Linked DNA regions of Callithrix jacchus. The protein of the gene in region 1 purifies or fractionates together with the protein of each later gene. This does not show direct contact. Links are inferred from orthologs where the notes say so. Each region holds a gene or a part of one and is shown in the gene's direction. Other genes may lie near its edges.

Region 1 (3,810 bases):
TAGTACTGTAAATCTTAGGAGCACGTTAGTTTTTTGTGTTTTTTTAAGCCAGTCAAATTTAGCAGTGGGGGATTGTCTACCAACTTTAGTGACACTGATGTTAGTAAGTTCTGATAACCCACTGCTGTCGGACCAGCCTGGAGCATACTAGTTTTGTCAGTGGAAAGTCTCTTAGACTTTGAGGTTTGTGATAACAAATCACACTATCACTAAAGTTAAATACGTATACACACACACACACACCCCTAGAATATAAGCAGAATGGAAAAGTTGACAAGGATGAACCCAAGAGCATTAGATTGAATTTTTTTCATTATAGAATTTAGTTGAACTTAGTCTCGTAGATGTATATATTTAATTAGCATAACTTGGACAGCACAAGATTAATGCTTTAACTTGTTTGCAGGAGTTTAAAAAGCTGGTTTCTGTTGCCAATAGTTGGTTGGAAGGGAAAATGGAGATGCCACAAATAAAATTTTTTGGATGTGCAAAACAGTTTTGATTTTATTTCTTACAAACTATAGGACTCCAAGCCCCCTGATCCTTGATCAGAACTACATTAACACCAAAAATCAAGTTATCAAAGCAGAGAGGAGGGTGCTAAAGGAGTTGGGATTTTGTGTTCATGTCAAGCATCCTCATAAGGTGAGTTGTAGAGTACAGAAATTGGGTTCGTAAGTATTAGGACTTCTCCAAAATTTCTACTTTATATGAATTTATGTTTCTATGTGAGTGTTAACCTTGGTTTTAAAATAAAAAGCGTTTTTTTTTAAAGGTTCAGGCTTCATCAAAAAACATTCTTTTGGGTGTTGAGATTGATCAGTAAAATTGAGAGTACAAAAATCTAGGTTCAAATCTTAATTCTGTGGTCATAAAGAAGTTATTTTTGTTTCTGTGGTTTAAAGTCTCAGTTTTTCCACCAAGAGAACAGAGATGTAAAGTTCCTTGTTCCAAGAGATAAATATGTAGGTACAGAAGTATTTGGCACACTTAACATCATAGTAGAATGTTCTAAGTGTGGTAGCTGCTCACTGTAAAACATTGGAAATTTGTTTCTCTCTAAATCTCTTAGCATTCATTATTGTCAATATAAGTTGTAGAGCGAGTGCTCAGGTCAGAACTATCTGGGCTAGAAATGTACCTTGGGAAATTAGGTGAAATAATCTCCTAGCACAGTGCCCGTCACGTGGTAAAGTGCCAATGAAAAATATTCTTTAATTGCCTTTTTTCCTGTACAATTTTGAAATACAGTTCTAAACATAATTTATATAAAAATCTAGTAATACAATTCACATTAGAATCTTACATACATTTAAGTTGGTCTGTCTTATTGATGTAGAATTAGAACTTGAATCTAACATTTTCAGTTACTTTTTTTATTGAACTCTGTAGTCTGAAAGAACTACCAGTATACTAAACTGAGTTTTTTTCCCTTGTCCTTCAGATCATTGTTATGTATTTACAAGTCTTAGAATGTGAACGTAATCAAACCCTGGTTCAAACTGCCTGGTAAGTCACTTTTTTAGATTTCTTTCCTAGCCAGGAAAACAGAAGCAGAAATAAAGTAAGTTTCGTTTCCCTTTCCAAAATAATGAGATAAGTTTGTTTTGGGGCTTTTTGTTGTTGTTTTTGTTTTTTTAACCAAAAGGTAAATAATGCTTATTTCTGCTTCCTGTTTTCTTGGCTTGACTAATTACTTTTAATGGAGAACTCAATTTAACTTTGTTCTTTTTTCTACTCTTTAATTAAAGGGTAGTCCATGATGGTAAGTCATAGAACTCTGCCCTCTGCACTTCAGCCCATGACCTCAGGATGGCCTGATTGGCTACCCTGCTCTCCAGCCAATCCAGTGCAAGCTCTCATCCGAGATTCACTGAAGTGGTCCATATCCATCTGGCAGCATCTTCTAGTTCTGTCGGGGTGTCAAAAGGATTTGTATATTTGCTTCTAGAAGTAACTATTTGACATGCCTATGTATTTAATGTATACTTGTAACTATCAAAATGAATAGTTCATTTTTGATAGATTTGTTGTCCAGCCATTATGAATTAAATGGTTTATTAGGAGTTTGACTAAATTTTTATTTTTAGTATGTATAGCATGAATTCTACCAAAGGAGACTACAAACTTGCAGTTTAAAATGGGCACCAGTTCCCACACTGGCTTAATTTATATAGTTATATAGCTGCTTGGCTGTATTGCTGGTAATGTTAGAAGTAAGAAGCACTTCGTTATTGAAAGAGATGTTACTATTATACTGCTTAAATGCTTTAGCACTTGGACTTTTTGAGATGCAGATGTGTGATTTTGCGTTCTGGCTTATTTAAAGGTCAAGCCAAGGAGTTTGTGGTTCAGCCACAACTACTGTTTCCTTAAGACTTGATGTGAAGGACTTAGTGAAGTAATTTTTATATTTTGGACTTCCCAGCAAGATGTCCTATTTATGACTGCCATGCTTCTTTTGGACTCAGTAAATGTTTGTAATGTTAGAAAAGTCTCGTTACTTTTATAAAATGCATGACATTTTAAATGTGTTTCATAAAATGGATTATAGCAGTTCTGATGGTTTAGGATTTTTTAGAAATCGTCCGTTTAATTTCAGCTTAACCTTTTAAATGACCTGTAAATTTTCTTTATTAGTTTAGGAATATTGTGGGGAGAGTTCATTAATAATAAAAGTTCAGCAATTTTTTAACTGAAATAGTTTATCTCTTTTACCTAGTCACAAAAAAAAGGTATGTAAACAAGGCCATTATGTTTTTATTGCTCTTTACTTCCCTATCTAGATTTTCTAAAGTATCTTAGCTTTCTTAATGTAAGTTTAACTTGGTACTTACTGAAAATGTTTTTTTACCCCTGTTAACGATACTTTGAGCTTTTGAAATGAACTTGGTTGACACAGCTTTATTGTGGATAAAGGAGAGATGGTCAATAATTAATGGCTTGAAGTATTGTTGGAGTGGTTTATCATTTCTGAAACTAATCTTGTCAGAATTGACTTTGAAAGCATTGCTTTTTACAGAAATAATACTTTAGGAGTAATTTCTAGTTGGATAGTAATACGAAATAATTTAAAGGGGCTTTGGTCATATATATTGGAGAACTGCAAATGGTCCTCGTATTAAATTCTTACTGCTTACTGCTTTTTTTTGAGTTAAGAGTTGTTATATGCTAGAATATGAGGATGTGAATATAAATAAGAGAAGAAAAAAGAATAAAGTAGATTGAGTCTCCAATTTTATGTAAGCTTCAGAAGAACTGGTTTGTTTACATACAAGCTTATAGTTGAAATATTTTTCAGGAATTACATGAACGACAGTCTACGAACCAATGTTTTTGTTCGATTTCAACCAGAGACTATAGCATGTGCTTGCATCTACCTTGCAGCTAGAGCACTTCAGGTAGGTGCCTATTTCCCATTTTGTTCTGTAGGATAAATAACACAAATTTTCCATGGTTCCAATACAGATATAACAAAAATTTAAACCATTCTGTTCTTATGGTTTAGATTCCATTGCCAACTCGTCCCCATTGGTTTCTTCTTTTTGGTACTACAGAAGAGGAAATCCAGGATATCTGCATAGAAACACTTAGGCTTTATACCAGAAAAAAGGTATTATCTATTTACTCTTTTAAGTCAACATGCTAAGAGTCTAAGCTACTATAAGGGAGAAACACAAACTTTTTTTTTTTTTTTTTTCCTTAAACAGCCAAACTATGAATTACTGGAAAAAGAAGTAGAAAAAAGAAAAGTAGCCCTACAAGAAGCCAAATTAAAAGCAAAGGGATTGAATCCTGATGGAACTCCAG
Region 2 (4,408 bases), on another chromosome or scaffold:
AGAAAAAGGTGAAACTTGAATAGAAAAAAGGAGTCACCCTTGGGAACGTGGGGAGGAGGAGTTGGGGGTGGCTCCTAGTCAAGCTTAGAGGATGGAAGGAACTGAAAGATGGACGTGTGGTGGTCTCAAGGAGGGAAGAGTGATAGGAGCAAGGCCCTGTGTCTGGTAATGATAATATTCGACATATAGTATCTTAATATTGAACATCATCCTAAGTGTTTCACATGGTTTATTTTGTTTAGTTCTCCTTGCAGCCCTGTGAAGTGGGTGCTATTACTGATTTTATGCTGTAGAATCTGTGAAACAGAGAGGTTGAATAATTGGCCCAAGGTCACACAGCTTGTAAGCAGCAGTACTGGATAGATCTGACTCCACAGTCTGTGCTCTTAGCTTTGTCAAGGAGGAAGGCCCAGAGTTTCATCCAGAAAACAGAATGTGAAAAGGGATTGGAATCAGAGCAACCTGGACTGGGTGAAGAGGTTGTGTCGCGAAAGGATGCTGGATGAGAAAGAAAGTCAGAAGAAGGGCCTAGAATGTCAAAAGAGAGGAGTGTCCAGGGCCGCAGGCAACACTGGAAGCCAGGCCAGCTCAGCTGGCCACCCATCCCGGTGCATACCCAATCTCAGTCTGTCCCTTCAGGTCAAATTTACATTCTCCTGCTCTCCCTCCTCCTCAACAAAAACAGGAGATTTACAGACTCTCAACGTCTCTCCCCACAAGCGACTTACTAATCACAAAGGGAAAAATTGTAACTTTGCGGTGGCACAACCTGGCCGACTCCAGCTTAACCAAGTGACCAAAGTGGGTATTCAGAGGGTTCTCAGGGAAGGCTCTGGAGGGGCTTTTGGGGGAAATGTATAAGGGTTTTGTGAGGAGGACTCTGAATGAAGAGGGTGGGAAGTCTTGGGGACTGAGGAGTCTGCGGGAACAGGGAAGGGTCCAGAGGGGGAAGGAGGGGTACGTCTCGGGGGAAGGGAGAAGTATTGAGGTGGGAGAGGTTCTGAGGTTTGAGCGAGGCCCTGGAGAGAGACTTGACAGTTTGGGCGAGAAGAGGGTATGGGAGGTGTGTGGGGGTAAAAGCTGGGCAACTGCAGAGCTGGGGGCAGGGTCTCCACCGACAATCTTGAAAGGGTCGGGACTCGAAGGGGAGGGTTCTAAGGCAACGGCCAGTGGAAGTGGGGGCTCCTGTGGCGTGAGGTAAGGCCAGCCGGAGGGTGAGGCGATTTGGACAGCCCGGCCTGGGGCAGCGGGAGGGCCAAGGTGGGGGAGGGCGCGGGGGAGGGGGCGGGGCGTGCTGGGGTGGGGCCGGGGCGGGGTCGGCACCGCCCGGCGGGTCCCCCCGCGCTGCAGGGGGCGCTGTGAGCCTGGGCGGCCCCAGGCCGGGCGGCGGCCGCTCCCCGTGAGCGCGGCCCCTTTTCCGGGTTTCCTCCGCCTCCTCCTCCTCTCCTCCTTCTTCTCCGCTGCTGCCGCCGCTGCCCCTTTCCCGGCCGGTGGCTGCCGCTGCCGGTGCCGCCGCCGCCGCCTCCTGGGGGCCGCGAGCCGAGCGGAGACCGCCGCGGAGCGCGAGCGCCGCCCGCCCCGCCGCTCCGCCGGCCGCTCCAGGGCCGGGCCGGCTCGGCCGGCGCCCCCCGCGCCCCCAGCCCGCCCGCCCCCGCGGGCCCGGCCTGGCGCGGCCGCCCGCTACCGCGCTCCTCCTCCTCCTTCTCCAGAGCCCGGCGGCCAGCCGCCTCCTCCGCCCGCCGCCCCGCGCCCTCCGCCGCGCCGCCGCCGCCACCCTCTGCGCCCCGCGCCGCCCCCCGGTCCCGCCCGCCATGCCCGGCCCGGCCGCGGGCAGCAGGGCCCGGGTCTACGCCGAGGTGAACAGCCTGAGGAGCCGCGAGTACTGGGACTACGAGTCTCACGTCCCGAGCTGGGGGTAAAGCCGCCGCCGTCCCCCGCCGGGCCCGCTGACCCCTGTCTCCGCCCGGCCGCCCCCCGCGACCCGCACTCGGCCGGGGTGGTGTCTCCCGCCGATCCCTCCGCGGCCCCGCTGGAGACAGAGGTCCCGCTCTCGCACATGTCCTCGTCTTCCTCTTCCCTCCCCTTTACCCCGGTTTCGTCCCTTTCTCCCCGCTTTGCGCACCCCTTTCCCCCAAGGAATGATTTTTTTACTCGGAGAGAAGTGTGGGGTGCACGGATCGGCGCTGGGTGGAAGTGAGGGAGCAGCCCTTCTCACACTTTTGGGTTTCCACTAGGGTGGGAAGTCAACAGCTGTCCTCTGGAGCTATTAAAATTCTCTGCCTTTTCGGTTTTCTGAGATGAGGTAGTGGGAGGAAATTTCTTAAAGACGTCCACATTTTTAAAACAGGGATTGTCTACCTTCAGGGTGTGAAACGGGAAGCAGGTGCTGTGAAGCCGCGGGGCAGAGGGGGCACCCTCTAGGCCTTCAGGACGGGTGCTTTGTTCGCCCCTCTGGATTGGCTCAGAGCGTTGCCTTTCTACCCCATCTTCCCAAGTTAGGAGAGACCAGTTAGGTTAGGAGCTCTGCAGAGTGAAGGGAGCCAAGATTACGTCGTGGCTTTCATTTAGGGAATGAGTTGTGACGTGATGTGTAGACACTTCCAAGTGTTTGCCTGGCGGAAGCGGCTGGATGACGTGTATAGTGGGCATAGGCTTGGCTAACCCCCAGTCCTGGCATTTATGTGTGTCTGTCTCTTACCTTTTACAGTAATCAAGATGATTACCAACTGGTTCGAAAACTTGGTCGGGGAAAATATAGTGAAGTATTTGAGGCCATTAACATCACCAACAATGAGAGAGTGGTTGTAAAAATCCTCAAGGTGAGTGTCCTATGAGTGATAAATAACATTTGTTCCCCCACAGGGCAAAAGGATGTAAGCTACCCCAGTCACATTCTAGAATGGGCAGTGCAAGCTTGAATTTAATTACTTATTTAGAGTCAGAGTCTCACTCTGTAACCCAGGCTGGAGTGCAGATTATGGTTCACTGCAGCCTTCAACTCCTGGGCTCAAGTGATCCTCCCTTCTCAGCCTCCCAAGTAGCTGGGACTACAGGTGCATGCCATCATGCCCAGCTATTTAAAAAAATTTTTTTGTACAGACAGGGTCTGGTCATGTTGCCCAGGCTGGTCTTAAACTCCTGAGCTCAAGCAGTCCTCCAGAACGACTCCTTGCAGGCTTCCCAAAGTTGCTGGGGTTACAAGCATGAGCCACTGTGCCCAGCCCACACTCAAATTTTACTTCTCTGATGACCCTTCATTACTTCTTTTTCCACCCCATTTTCCTGTGAACTTTCAAGGAAATGTGCAGACTGGTCACAAATCTAAGCCCAACTCTTAAGTTCAGGAAGGTGTTCTAAAATGTAAATTATAGGTGCCTAAAGCAGAAATTCCAAAAGGGCTCCATTTGTTAGAAAATAAATAGGTATTCAAAAGACCAAAAAGCCATTCTCAATTTCAGGTCTCCTTGAGCACTGTTTGTTACTCTTGGTGCGTGATCTACCTTATTCCATAAAGAAAGCTGGACAAAACTGGAGTGACTTCAGAGATGTATTGCGAGCCCAAGTTGAAGGAAATTCCTTAGTGGATAATCACTTGTTTTTTCTTCTTTGGCAGTAAAGTTTCAGGTGGCGTGGATATAGTGCACTAGTAGGGCTGAGAAGCCTTGTTAGAAAGCCAGAGAGCCTTTGTTGCTTATCAGCTAGTAAAAATATAGAATTCACTTATGATTTCTAAAGTAATCACTGGAACAAAACTCTTAACATATGGTTTAGCGATCTCAGTTTGATAATGCTGTGCTTTTGTTATCTCTTTGATGAAGATGATTTTAATGAGCATGAAGGGTCGGCTAAATTTTCCTTCAGGTAAAAGATTAATTGTGTAGCTTTAATAATGTTTTATAGGGTGTGGTAAAAAGTAATTGGTAGAATCTTTGATGGGTCCTCATTATTGCCAGATTATTTCATGTGGGCACGTGTCATTCAGTGAGAGATTGAGAAGATGGAAGAGTAATGTAAGCACTTTTGTATACATGTGATTTCCAGTGTGGCCCTTTTGCAGAGGTTCTGTGGACTAAGAATGTGGTATTGAAAAGCTGTTTCTGTGTGTTAGGGCAGCTGTATAGGTAATCCCTGTTTAATGTGAGGGGTCAATGTTAGCTTTCTGGTAATCACCTTTCAGAAAAATGATCAACTCCATCACTCAATACATCCTAGCCTAGTGATGAAGGAGCAGAATTGCAAGAAAGAGAAATAGACAGTTACTTGTGTTCTCAGACACACTAGGGATCAGAATCTGTGAGGAATTGATGTTGAAGATACTGAGTGTGACTCCTCTCTTCCCTAAATATAAATTGCACTTATAAAGTCACAAGGTGGTGGTTGTTTTTTTAAGTCACAGGGAAATTACCTA

What was found.
Region 2: the proteins of CCNL1 (region 1) and CSNK2A2 purify together in Homo sapiens (affinity purification with mass spectrometry; 4 studies listed by BioGRID and IntAct, with this or other methods). This does not show direct contact. The link is inferred for Callithrix jacchus from reciprocal best matches to the Homo sapiens genes CCNL1 and CSNK2A2.

What each region holds. Positions count from the first base shown.
Region 1 is NC_133518.1:28,385,382-28,389,191, forward strand, and holds part of CCNL1 (cyclin-L1), read left to right. Parts: intron 1-524; coding exon 525-645; intron 646-1,444; coding exon 1,445-1,509; intron 1,510-1,751; coding exon of another isoform or gene 1,752-1,776; exon of another isoform or gene 1,777-3,219; intron 3,220-3,301; coding exon 3,302-3,401; intron 3,402-3,508; coding exon 3,509-3,613; intron 3,614-3,710; coding exon 3,711-3,810. UniProt on the Homo sapiens protein: Involved in pre-mRNA splicing. Functions in association with cyclin-dependent kinases (CDKs). Inhibited by the CDK-specific inhibitor CDKN1A/p21. May play a role in the regulation of RNA polymerase II (pol II).
Region 2 is NC_133521.1:16,079,219-16,083,626, reverse strand, and holds the start of CSNK2A2 (casein kinase II subunit alpha'), read left to right. Parts: upstream 1-1,441; 5' UTR 1,442-1,811; coding exon 1,812-1,915; intron 1,916-2,358; exon of another isoform or gene 2,359-2,532; intron 2,533-2,707; coding exon 2,708-2,819; intron 2,820-4,408.